Linked DNA regions of Danio rerio. The protein of the gene in region 2 interacts with the protein of the main gene of each other region in a biochemical or structural test. Links are inferred from orthologs where the notes say so. Each region holds a gene or a part of one and is shown on either strand. Other genes may lie near its edges.

What was found.
Region 1: the proteins of myo18aa (region 2) and golph3a form a complex in vitro, tested with the Homo sapiens proteins (2 studies listed by IntAct). The link is inferred for Danio rerio from reciprocal best matches to the Homo sapiens genes MYO18A and GOLPH3.

Annotation. Positions count from the first base shown.
Region 1 is NC_133180.1:42,003,151-42,007,990, forward strand, and holds part of golph3a (Golgi phosphoprotein 3), read right to left. Parts: intron 3,383-4,840; coding exon 2,958-3,382; 3' UTR 1-2,957. UniProt on the Homo sapiens protein: Phosphatidylinositol-4-phosphate-binding protein that links Golgi membranes to the cytoskeleton and may participate in the tensile force required for vesicle budding from the Golgi.
Region 2 is NC_133185.1:42,093,266-42,100,543, forward strand, and holds part of myo18aa (unconventional myosin-XVIIIa), read right to left. Parts: 5' UTR 6,497-7,278; coding exon 6,353-6,496; intron 4,159-6,352; exon of another isoform or gene 2,388-4,158; coding exon of another isoform or gene 2,262-2,387; intron 1,699-2,261; coding exon 835-1,698; intron 314-834; coding exon 236-313; intron 1-235.

The DNA.
Region 1 (4,840 bases), on a different chromosome or scaffold from region 2:
TGAATGGAACTCCATTAATGCCACAAAGAGCTACAGTCCATACAGCACCTCATTCTGCAACCAATCTCAGGCACATGAAAGTATTGTAAATCAACCTTGAAGTAACGCGAGAGAGGAATCACGACAGCAAATGTGTGAAGAGGTAGAGTTTGAAGCATTTCTGGGATGTTTATGGATTTGAGATGGTGTGGTAGCCAAAAATAAAAACATAACCCAACTAATAAATAACAGACAGACAATCTTAGAACAACCGTTTGTTTTCCTTATATACATTTTTACTTACTAGTCAACAAAACGCTGCATTTTGGCCCTGTTCACACCTCGTACAGTTCACCTGAAAATAAAAATGACCTCAATATTTACTTTCCCTCACGTCGTTTTAAACTTCTGAGTTCCATTCTTTAGTTTAACACAAAAGAAGATACTTTCTGGTTGCTGCCATCCATTGACTTCCATTGTATTTTTTCCTCTAATATGGAAGTTGATTGGTGCCAGCAACCAGCATTTTTAAAATATTTTCTTTTGTGTTTAACAGAATATACCCGTCAACGATTCAGTTTTGACGTGATTCTCCTGTATTTTCAACACAATCTCACTGCAATTTGTAACTTTTTCATGTAGTGGCTAATTCGTACGATCTAATTTGTACATTTTAGTACGATTTGCTCATCCCCCAATGACGGTTGGGTTTAGGGGTGGGGTTAGGTGCCAGGCCTCCTTTTTAAAATCGTACAATTTCTTACGGCTGAACTCGTAACGAATTAGCCACTAAACTGCCAAAACGTAAAATACTTTTGTTCTCTCGTGAGATCAGATTGGTATTTTACCATTCTATTCCACTGTTTAAATATTGTCAAGTATTTCTCCTGTATTTTTAATATTTCTATGAAAAGTGAGAGTAGCATCAAAGAGCCGATCTCAAACGTGATATAATTGCAAGAGTTGTTCGAGAGAATTATGCTTTCACTTTATATATATATATATAAACCATATATATATGGTTTGAAAGCATGATGAAATTAATATTTCACTACCTGAAGTCTTGTTGTCGATCTCAATCCCTGGAGCGTCACGCTGATCAGGTGGTTTGTCTATAAACTGACATACGAGCGCTCAAATGTCGACATAAAACGATTCAGTGTCCCTGTATCTGTGGTTACATGCAGTAAACAGTGGTGAGTTCTGTGAACCGATGGCCTTCACAGCCAATCACAGTTTGGGTGTGTTTTTAAACGAACAAATTCACCCAATAATATGTGAACATATCTGTCCTGGCGTGTTTCATTTTAAAAACAAATAATTTTATCTTAAATGAGCATAAACGGTTACGAAAGTAATCTGTGGATTCTTAAAGGGACACCTCTGTTATAAAAAAGAAAAACAGTGGATCAAAATGAGAGATTCATTTCTCTTCACTAAACAACTAAAATAACTTTAATCAATATTTACAGTGAATAAAAAGTGATTTTATGACTTGATTTTATTTCTCGAAGGGTATCTTGTATTTTTACATCCCAATGTTGACAAGTATGAGAAACTCAAAGAAGTTTTGAACAAGTGAACGTTGAGTAAAAGACAGAATTTTCATTTTTGGGTGAACTATACCTTTAAGAGACGTTTTCATCAATCGGTCAAATTTTCTTTTCCTTTAAATGCAGGCGAAAACACATTTGACTCTCAAAGTGTAAACACTAATGTAGTGTAACGTCATTTAACTATTCTCCTTAACCTCATCAATGTAACTTCATTGAGGAAATGTTCTGCATAGTTTCGTGTCTATTAGAACAAAGTCAGTATCGTTTTTCATCATCTCCTTTCACACTTGTATGTAAACCGTGCAAAAATCCTATTAAACTTTCTGTCCCAACATAGAGCTGTGGAAATAAAAAATAATTCAAGAAATTGATTTTGCATCAAATCGAAAATTTTCTTAACACATTACTGTTCAATAAAATCTGAACTTTGAGCAGTTTTAACAGTAGGTGGCACTCTAGCCTCGTTTATAAACATATACTTAAATGCTCTCCAGAAAGAGTGGCTGTGCATTCGCTGAGTCAGGCAAGTTTGGTCAGTTTACGATAATCAATTTTGTAATTCTTGAAAAAAATTTCGTTATTTAATTATTTTAAGTTCAAGTGGTATTTATAAGGAACTGAAAGCAAGGAGAGTAAATCAAACAGCGCCGTCTCCTGTTAAAACTAAGCTCAGAATCTATTTAGTGAAAAACAATGCATTTTGAATATCAGGGAATCAATTTCTCACCACAGCATTACTGCTTATAGAGACAAAGTAGTCTGGACAAAGGAGATGGATTTAAACACCCAATCTGATTGACCAAAACATAGGTGTAAACAGGGCTTTTGTTTCAGCAGCGTGAATGTTAGCTGTTAGCATTAGCACCCTTTCCACAAATAACTTATCTGTCATTCCAACAGGACTAACTCTGATGACCTTTTTTTGGTTACTTTTCAGCCTTCGTTATTAGACAACAAACGGACAACAAATCGAATTAAAAAATATACACTAGTGTATTTATTTTCAGATTAGCAACGGTTGAGCCGTACCACTGTGCAATGTACACAGCTTCCGTCACAAATGGATCCCAATTAGATGACAAAACAGAAATCAAATTCTTGAATATTTTCTAGTCGGTCAATAACCGACGCAGATATCCAAGCATGAAAACATTGAAAAACAAAAACAAGCCATTTTGTGCAGCGATACTAAAACGTAATTCTCAACAGTACAGTGAGAAGGAACCCATCGGCACTCAAAATAAACTGGTCCCCTTTTCCAACAAGAGAGAGAAACCCAATGATAGATCTTGCAGGGAGAAAAGTAAGGGAGGGAGATTTATCTACAAGGAAGGAAAGACACCGAGACTCCACTTTCATCCACCACTTCTCAAACCTGATTTTACCAGTCCAAACGTCATATTTGTCAGAAGTCAAGCTGCTTCATTTGGTGAAGGCGGCCACCACCGCCCACAGCAGCTCATTGGCGTTGTTCTTCATGCTCTCGCCCTCAGGCTCCAGGTCCAGCAGCTGTCGTACTCTCTTCATGGCCAGATCGTATTGGTCATCCAGCAGCGGGGCGAACGCATTCTCCAGGACGTCAGACGAATGGGCCAGGAATATTAGGGCCAGAAGGCGCTTGTCCATTCGGTGAGGGTCGTTCACCCACTTTTCCAGCACGGACTCCTGCACTTTCTTTATAAGGCGCTGCTTTATATTATTGTTGGTGAGGGGGTGTGTGGTCATGTCGAAAAGAAGAAAGTTTTGTTTCTCTGTGGTGAGGACACCTTTCTCCACCAGGTTTTTGGCCAGGCGCTCTCGAACATTACGCAGCTGATAATGAAGCTTTAATGGGTTCCATGTTTCACCTGTGAAAGACAAAACACTTTTAGTATAAAACATTCAGTGATTTGTGGTTCATTTGGCAGAAATGTAGATGAATTTAGCATCCTCCTTATACTAGAAATATTTTATTTGTAACTACAGCATGAAGTCATCTTTCATATAGATGTTACGCATCTTTTCACAAATTGCTCTGCAGCTGTAACCTAAATGTTAAAAAATATCACTGGGTATATGCAGCAATCCTAAAGGCCATTTCAATACCGTTTTAAAGACCTTCTCAGAATATTTTAAGACCTCATTGCCACTCTAAGTTCTAATCACTATCAAAACTTTACCTCCAACTGGTGTGCATGATACATTCATTTGAAACTCCAACTCAATTCTGATTGCTAAAGTAGACATCAGGGTTGTGATTATCTGTAAAACGCTTATCAGACATACATAAATCAAGATTGAGATGAATAACTGCAAAAGTTATCTGGACCAGAAATGTTGAGGATAATGAGGTAAAATATAAATGGATTTTTACATTATAATTGTGTTGCTAATACATTTGTAGCATTTTGAGAGTAACAATTAACACTCATTTTCCTACGACTTAATCTAATGGTCTTAAACTCAATTCCTGGATGGCCGCAGCTTTGCATAGTTTAGCTCCAAACACCTCCACCCTTACGCCTGCTCACCCACACTCTATCCCATTCACACGTTACAGCCAATTTAGTTTATACAAATCGGGGAGAGCATGCAAACTTAGAAACCAGCAACCTTCTTGCAACCACGCAATTCACTTAGGCCTTGTCCACATAACCACAAGTATTTTCAAAACCGTAGTTTTTTCTATGCAAAATCTATTGGGTGAGTGAAACCAAAACTTTCTGAAAACTCTAGCCAGGGAGAAGATTTTCTAAAACTCAGAAACTTAGTGAGGTCGTGTGGACACTACAACTGGAGTTTCTTCCTCATGGTATTCCTCACTGTTTTCTCCTTTCTGATTGGCCAACATGGCTGAGTTCACAGCAAATGAAAAATATATCATTGAGGAAAATTCTGATGTTTGCAGCAATTAAGTCACGTATTCCTGGTCGCTCGCATTGCAGGATGGTAATCCACCCATTCTTACATTTGCATTGATTTGTATGCAATGTAATTCAGGGCTCGAAATTGCGACCATTTTGGTCGCATATGCGCCCGAAATTTTATCTATGCGACCTCAAAATATATTTGGGAGCATTTCTGCGAGTGCTTAAAATTGTTGTGTGCGACCAGTTTTTACTGCAAAATGTTCACCACATGCGCAGATTTGAGAGACATTCACGCAGGATGCATCTCTAAGCTCTTTGTCTGCACCTGAAATGCGAAACGCAGCGCTCAGGAATGGTTTAAAACAGTTGTCATTTCAACTTGCTGCAGTAAACAAATCCACGTCCGTAATGCTTGCTCCGCCTTCGCGCTCTTCTTATTGGCCCACCACTGCTCTA
Region 2 (7,278 bases):
GTGTTGAGGCAAGCTGGACCTAAATTCTGCAGAACACCGGCCCACTGCCAGAACTTCCTCACAGGGAAATTTGATTGCAACGGCCTTTAAGATGCTACCGGTGAACATGTCAAACCAACAATGAAAGACCACAGATTTTACTCTAGGATTAGTCTCAGACAACCAAACCATGGCTGCAGTGGCACAGTGTAAGCAGGACTTTACTCAAATACCTTGGGGGTTGCAGGACACACACCTGTTGGTTGGTGATGGTGGAAATCTGTGACGGAAGTTTACCAGCAGGAGCTGCAGAAGGTTTTGACACTCCCTTTACCTTCACACACATACCACTAGTCACTAGGCTTATATGTGAGAAGACATTTACATTTATTCATTTAGCAGATGCTTTTGTCCAAAATTGAAGATAAAAACACACTTCAAATCACCAGAGAACAGCAATGTACAGATGCCATGGCAATTTAAAGTTAGTGTAGCAGCTTTTCCCCAAACTTGTGAGATGGAAACCAACAGATACAAGTTGTCCGCAATTGACATGATCAGTGCAAATGCAATGTTAGTCTGATATATAACCTACGCCTTAACCCAACAACTTTGCTGTTAAAACCAGAGATGTTGTGCCTTCAAAAATGTCACTTTCTCATCAGTTGTCATGCTGAATTATCGTAGCAATCCTCTGGTTTGATAGATAGCACTTCAATCCACTCCAAAGAGTTAAAGTAGTAGAGAAGTCAGAAGCCTTTATGCAAACAGTGAGAGATTAGTTCTGCAGTAAGACTGGGCTGCTGAGCAATTTCATGCGTTACAAAAGCATTCAGAAAGACATGCAGTCTGTACCTCCGGCTTTCGTACAGCGGCCATCCGGGACGCAGGAATAAACCCTGTGGGAGGTGCTAGTGGATCAACTTTAGGCTTGGGTATAAATCCTGGCACTGATGGAAACGGGTCTCGCTTCGGAGGGGGAAGAAATCCTGCTGGAGGTGCTAAAGGATCAGGTTTGGGCACAGATTGAGTGGAAAGGTTTGCTTTAGAAGCAGGATTAAATCCTGAGGGTGGTGTAGGATGATCAGGATTGGGTGTAGGTTGAGTGGAAGAGTTTGGTTTTGGGATGAAACCAGCAGGTGGAGCCAATGGATTGGGTTTGGCAGCTGGAATGAATCCAGCTGGAGGGGTTAGAGGATTCTGCTTAGGAGGTAAAAAGCCTACAGGAGGTGCAAGAGGGTCTGCTTTAGGAGGTGGACTGGTTGCTGGGACAGACAGCTGGGGTTCCTCTGTGGGTGTCTCACTTTCCCCAGTCCTTTCTTGGCTTTCCTCCTGAGTTTCTTTGCGTTCGGTAGCTCTCGAGCGGGAGCGATGTTCCTTACTTCTTGCACGCCCCATTAGGCTGGTCAACCCGAAAGCAAGGGCATCTCCATCCACCGAGCTGCTGGCTTGCAGGGGCCGGCTAGTTTTGGGAACTGAAGTAGCTGTTGACTGTTTTTCCTCTGACCCTGTTTTATTCGCCAGATTGAGTCCTCTTCTTGCCAGCGTATCTGATTCCATGCTGCCTTGTCTTCCATTAATGGACCCACTGCTCCTCTGATCTATATTCATTGGCCGCTCTGGATTCAGCGGTGTTGATGGTTCCCCTCGCTGTCGCTCAGTTGGACCACTTACCGATGGTGTTGTCTGGGGTTGACTCGTGTTGTTCTCGCTCTCTGACTGTTCATACAACCCAAAACACACATGTACAGGTCAAAACAAAGTAAACATGCGCTAGCTGCTGGAACAAAAATATAAGAGTTCACATCACTCCTAACCTACAATAATACAAGGTTTACAAAAGCTTTGGTAAAATTCCACAAGCAACAACCTTCCAAAGTTTCCTGAATTTCCCAAAAGGTGTCAGACGGGTTTCTGTTCTAAAGATCAGAAGCTCTTCACTCTCTCCAGCACAGCAGCACTACTGAGTTCATCTGAAAAACACTTTGATTTGCTTTCTTCCACATGGCCAGGCACTTTGCAGTTCTTTTCTCAGCACAGTTAGACAGGTTAACTGACAAACCCAGTAATTAAGGTCACTGCAGCGCAGCGCTGGCTCACAGCCCTGAAACACAACTCTACTGGATCAACCGCATGGACTTTTTGTACTCTCTCACACCATGCACAATTCAGAACCTTAAGTATTCCAAAGACCTCATAATCATTTCACACTTTAAAATGACAGTTTATAGTGCACATTTATTCTTAAGGTACTAAGAATGAGCTCTTATATGCAGACAGACCTTCATGTCTATCCTGAAGGTGATGATACTGGTGCTCTTCCAGCTGTGCACGCTGTTCTGCGGGATGCTGAAAGCAACAGCAGCACTCTGAGAGTGCCGGACAGGCCCCCAGTCCGATACCTCCATGATGACTTGCAACCCTCTCACACATTTGCTTCAGGCACATTCTTAGCTCAGCATCCTTCTCCTGCTCCTTCCCTCTCTTTCTTCCTCTACACTACAGCAGTGATTGGAGGACGAAAAGAGGCAGGGTGTAATGTCAGCAGGCTCCACCCACTAGAGTAGAGCAGCAGGACAGTGCCAAACAAACACCAACATACTATACCATCACTCTGACATAAACATGAACACTACAGTACGTTAACAACTGAACATTTGAGCATTCAGCACAAGTTCTGGAAGCCACTTTGTTTTGCCAATACCTATTAAAATGCCACCTTTCAATCAATACTACTCCACAAATTCCTCTGGATTAAATAGGTGAAGAAATAGAAAGAAGAAATAGATGAACTACATACACACTAGGGCTGTGCAACATGACAATATATATATTGTGTGGACAAAATAAAAAGCCGTTAATTTTATATTATGTATATTTATATTGTGGTGTCACAAAATACATTGTTTACTTACTTTCATAATTTATAAAAGAGTACTACACACCATTACTGTGATTCAGGCAGCATTGTGAGAAAGTTACAAACTTAAAAAGTATAATGTTTACATTTAGCATTTTATTTAGCTTTTTTTTTTTTTTTTTATGTTGGACCTGACTAGGCATGGGCCGGATTCAGATTCTGACGGTATGATAACCTTGGATAAAAATATCACGGTTCCATGGTATCATGGTATTGTGCTCACTGCTCTAAAATATGTTGTTTTTAAAAGTCTAGGTAAAAAAAACAACCACTTATTTCCCTTGAACACAATATATTTTATTTTTTGAAAGATTTATGATTTTTTTGAGCAGTAAACATGTCAGGCTAAATAATTTAAATGGATCCATAGCGGCATCCCAAATCGCATACTTATGCACTATTTAGGCCGCATACTTACTACTTATGCCATTTTGTAGTATAAATAGTGTAAGTAGTGTGTTCACACTGAAAACTCTAAAAATCATAAGTGCACTTTAATTTCCCAGATGATGCACTCATTCAGACGGTAAAATGAAGTGTGTAATGAAGGGCCCTTCACGCACTCAACGACCGCAGGTTAGCTTACGTAGCGGAAGGGGCGGAGCTATCGGCCGCACATGTTGGATAACTTTTTTTTTTTTGGATGGTGAAAGCAAAATTCTTCTACGAGAGTGATTATAGCGCCTCCCGATGGTGAATGTGGCAATACTCACGGCAGGTATTATTTGATAATTCGGTCGTTTATTTCACTGATTTGGCAACCGTCAAACGTCATTAGGGAAACGGTTTGAATTTCCGCTTAATAAAAAAAACAATAGTGTGCCATTTGGGACGACAGTACATACATATACTATGCTGTTGAGTGTGTAAGTGCATAAGTACATAGTGCATGAGTGCATAGTGTATAGTGTGCCATTTGGGACGCAGCTCTTGACTTGACTGCTGTCTATGTTAGTTTCAAAAACACAGATTTCTTTACAATTTAAAATGGCATCTTTGGATATTTTCTGCTGGAGATACTGTTGTCCTAAAAAAAATTAAATAAATGTAAATTAAAAACTTACACATACCTTAGGAACAGTATTACAGAAAATTTTGGCAGTTTTAAAACCTTGACTTTTCCCAAACCGCCGTATACCCTAAAAACAGTTTTTCTCCCATGCTTAGACCTGACATCCTTTGTTTTTTTGTTTTTTTTTATCAAACATTGCCCTGATGTTCTAAATAAAGTTAAATGTGATCAAATGTGATCCAGAAAATACTTTAAAATGTAAAAAAAAAAAATGAATAGAACTTTTCATCATGTGAAACAGAAATATTTTCAATTTGGATAGAAACCCCATAAATGACTAGTTAGACAGTTGCGCATAATATATAGTGAAAGATTAATTTATACGTGGGACTCACTGTATCGCAAATAAAGAGATAAACAAATGTTTTAAGGAATTTTACTCAAAGCTATACACCTCAGACACGGAGTTGGACTCACAAACAATGGAATCATTTCTACATAAATGTAATCTCCCCGAGTTATCTTCAGAGAACCGGGCATCTCTTAATAAAGACTTTGCTTTAGAGCAGGGGTGTCCAAACACAGTCCTTGAGGGCCGGTGTCCTGCATATTTTAGTTCCAAGCCCAATTAAACACACCTGACCCAGGTAATCAAGCTCTTTCTAGGTATACTAGAAACTTTCAGGAAGGTGTGTTGAAAGAAGTTTGAGCAAAACTATGCAGGACACTGGCCCTCCAGGACCGAGTTTAGACACCCCTGCTTTAGAGGAATTAAAGATCACAATAAATACTTTAAAAATCGGTAAAACTCCCGGTCCTAATGGGCTGCCAGCTGAACTATATAAAAAAATTCAGCCACATACTTGTTTGTTTAAGGCTTTTTTCAGCAACTGTAAATAACTGGACTACCACCAACTTTTTCTGAGGCTATTATTACAGCAATTCTTAAAAAAGGTAAAAATCCTAAAGAAGCCGAGGCGTACAGACCCTTCCTAAGATCCATCTCCCTTCTCATTGTTGATAAAAAATATTATCTAAAACACTTGCTAATAGACTCGGTATATTAATTCATAAATTTGTTAATGTACAGTTGAAGTCAGAATTATTATCCCCCTGAATTACCCCCCCCCCCTGTTTATTTTTTTCCACAATTTTTGTTTAACAAATAGATTTTTTTCAACACATTTCTAAACATAATAGTTTTAATAGCTCATCTCTAATAACTGATTTATTTTATCTTTGCCATGATGACGGTAAATAATATTCGACTAGATATTTTTCAAGACACTTCTGTACAGCTTAAAGTGACATTTAAAGGCTTAACTAGGTTAATTAGGGTAACTAGGCAGGTTAGAGTAAACTAGGCAAGTTATTTGAGTGGAGTGAGGTTACTTGTTTGCTTTCCTTGATTTGGGAGATGAGTTTATAACTTGGATAAGAATTTTGTTCAGTAGTCCATTAGCATGCGTTTTAATAAATAGAACAATTTCAGACTCTTTTTTACCTTAAACTGCTTTTAGATATTCTTGATCTACACGTAGATTCTGATGCAGCGCTTATTATATTAGAGCATTCTGACAAATTCACTAAGCTGTGCATAACAGAGATTTCATACATATTGTTTGATAACAGCAAAAAAGCTACTATTATTGCACTGGAAAAATGTTAATCATCCAACTGCTAAACTATAGCTTTATGAATTGATATCTACTTTGCACTTGGAATGAACCAGATGTCTTTTAAAAGGCAACATTGGACAATTTCACAAGATTTAGGGCCCTTTCTTCTGTCTCTTAATGGGGAATTATTTTCCCCAAAGCAACATATTATAACTAAAAAGTAGTTTTGATTATGGCTGTATTGTATACTTATAGACTGGGGTTGGGGTGTTTATTATTTTGGGATGAAAATTAATCCCGGAATTTGTGAAATAAACTATTAATGAACTGAATTTACATACTGTAAATGGTACTGTATCGTGATATCAGGATATGACTGATGAGATGTTTGTCATATCGCCCAGCCCTATTTCAAACAATTCAATTGTTAGTTAGTTTAGTTCAGTTCAGTGTGGTTTAATTTTCACTCCTAAAAGTCTAAACACTGAAGAGCAAATCCATCGATTTGCAGCTTCACAAGTCCCAAAACTAAGCAAGCCAGTGGTGACAGAAATTACAGACAAAGTACAGCAATTACAGAGCAAATGCAAGGCCGGAAGCCAACAGCTTTCGTAAAAGATAAAGGCTTTTCAAAACAAACCCCATCTTTAGCAACTCCCGATGATATATGTGAAGTAAACACACAAGGATGTGTTTTCAAGTGAACCCCAGCCACAATAACAAATGCTGAGTGCTAAGAGATGTGAGCTCATCTGATTTCTGAACAGGCAACCTTCTGAACTCAGAGTCATGCAGTAATGAAGATGCCGCTTAAACACTTACACTCGAGCCTTTAGCACCCGGTACGTTTTCATCTTTCACCTGAAGTGAGGAAGATGAACACAGTGGTAAAGTTAATATTGTTCTGGATGTAGCATATAACCATATTTTCTCTCTCTTAACCCAATCTACACTTTGTTGACTCATAGATTCTCATAGAGATGTAGTTCAGATATTATTTCTCTGTGAGAATAAAGCTTAACATCTGCCTTTTTTCAGCTACAGTGGGGAAAATAAGTATTGAGCATATCATGTTTTTTTTTCCTGGGAATAATATTTCTAAAGGAGCTGTTGATATGAGATTGAACCAGATTTTGGTAAAAAAAACAAAAAAAAAAACATTTTAAGTGATAACAATTGTATGACACAAGAAAAAAATACTGAAATGTGTTTAATACTCATGACTTTTTGGTGGTGGCAACTTAAAGACACCTCTCAGATGAAGAATGAAGTCACATGGAATGCTCAGGTGTGATTTTTATCACAGACTTCAACAGAGTGTAAAAATCTTCATGGTTCTGTGGGTCTCTTGTCAAATTTATTTTGTATTTTCTATTGGTCAAGTGATTGGCTAGGCCATTCCACAGCTTGTTTTTTTCTCTAAAGCATTTGAGAGTTTCCTTGACTGTGTTTTGGATCATTGTCTTGCTGAAATGTCCATCCTGATTTCATCTCCATCCTCCTGCTAATGTAGATGTTGGACTGAAGCAGCTGATATTCATTTTCACTGAGGAAGGGCAGAGGGTTGCTGAAGAACTACTGAGAGATTTCAGTTGCTGTCTGGGCTTTCACTGCCTTTTTACACCTCCCTTTCTTCATGTGTTCAATACTTTTCTTTGCGTCATATTATTTTTATTACACATAACTTCACTTGTAAACTAATTAGATTTGTTTTCATTGCATGTATGGATTTCTTTGGTTGGTACTAA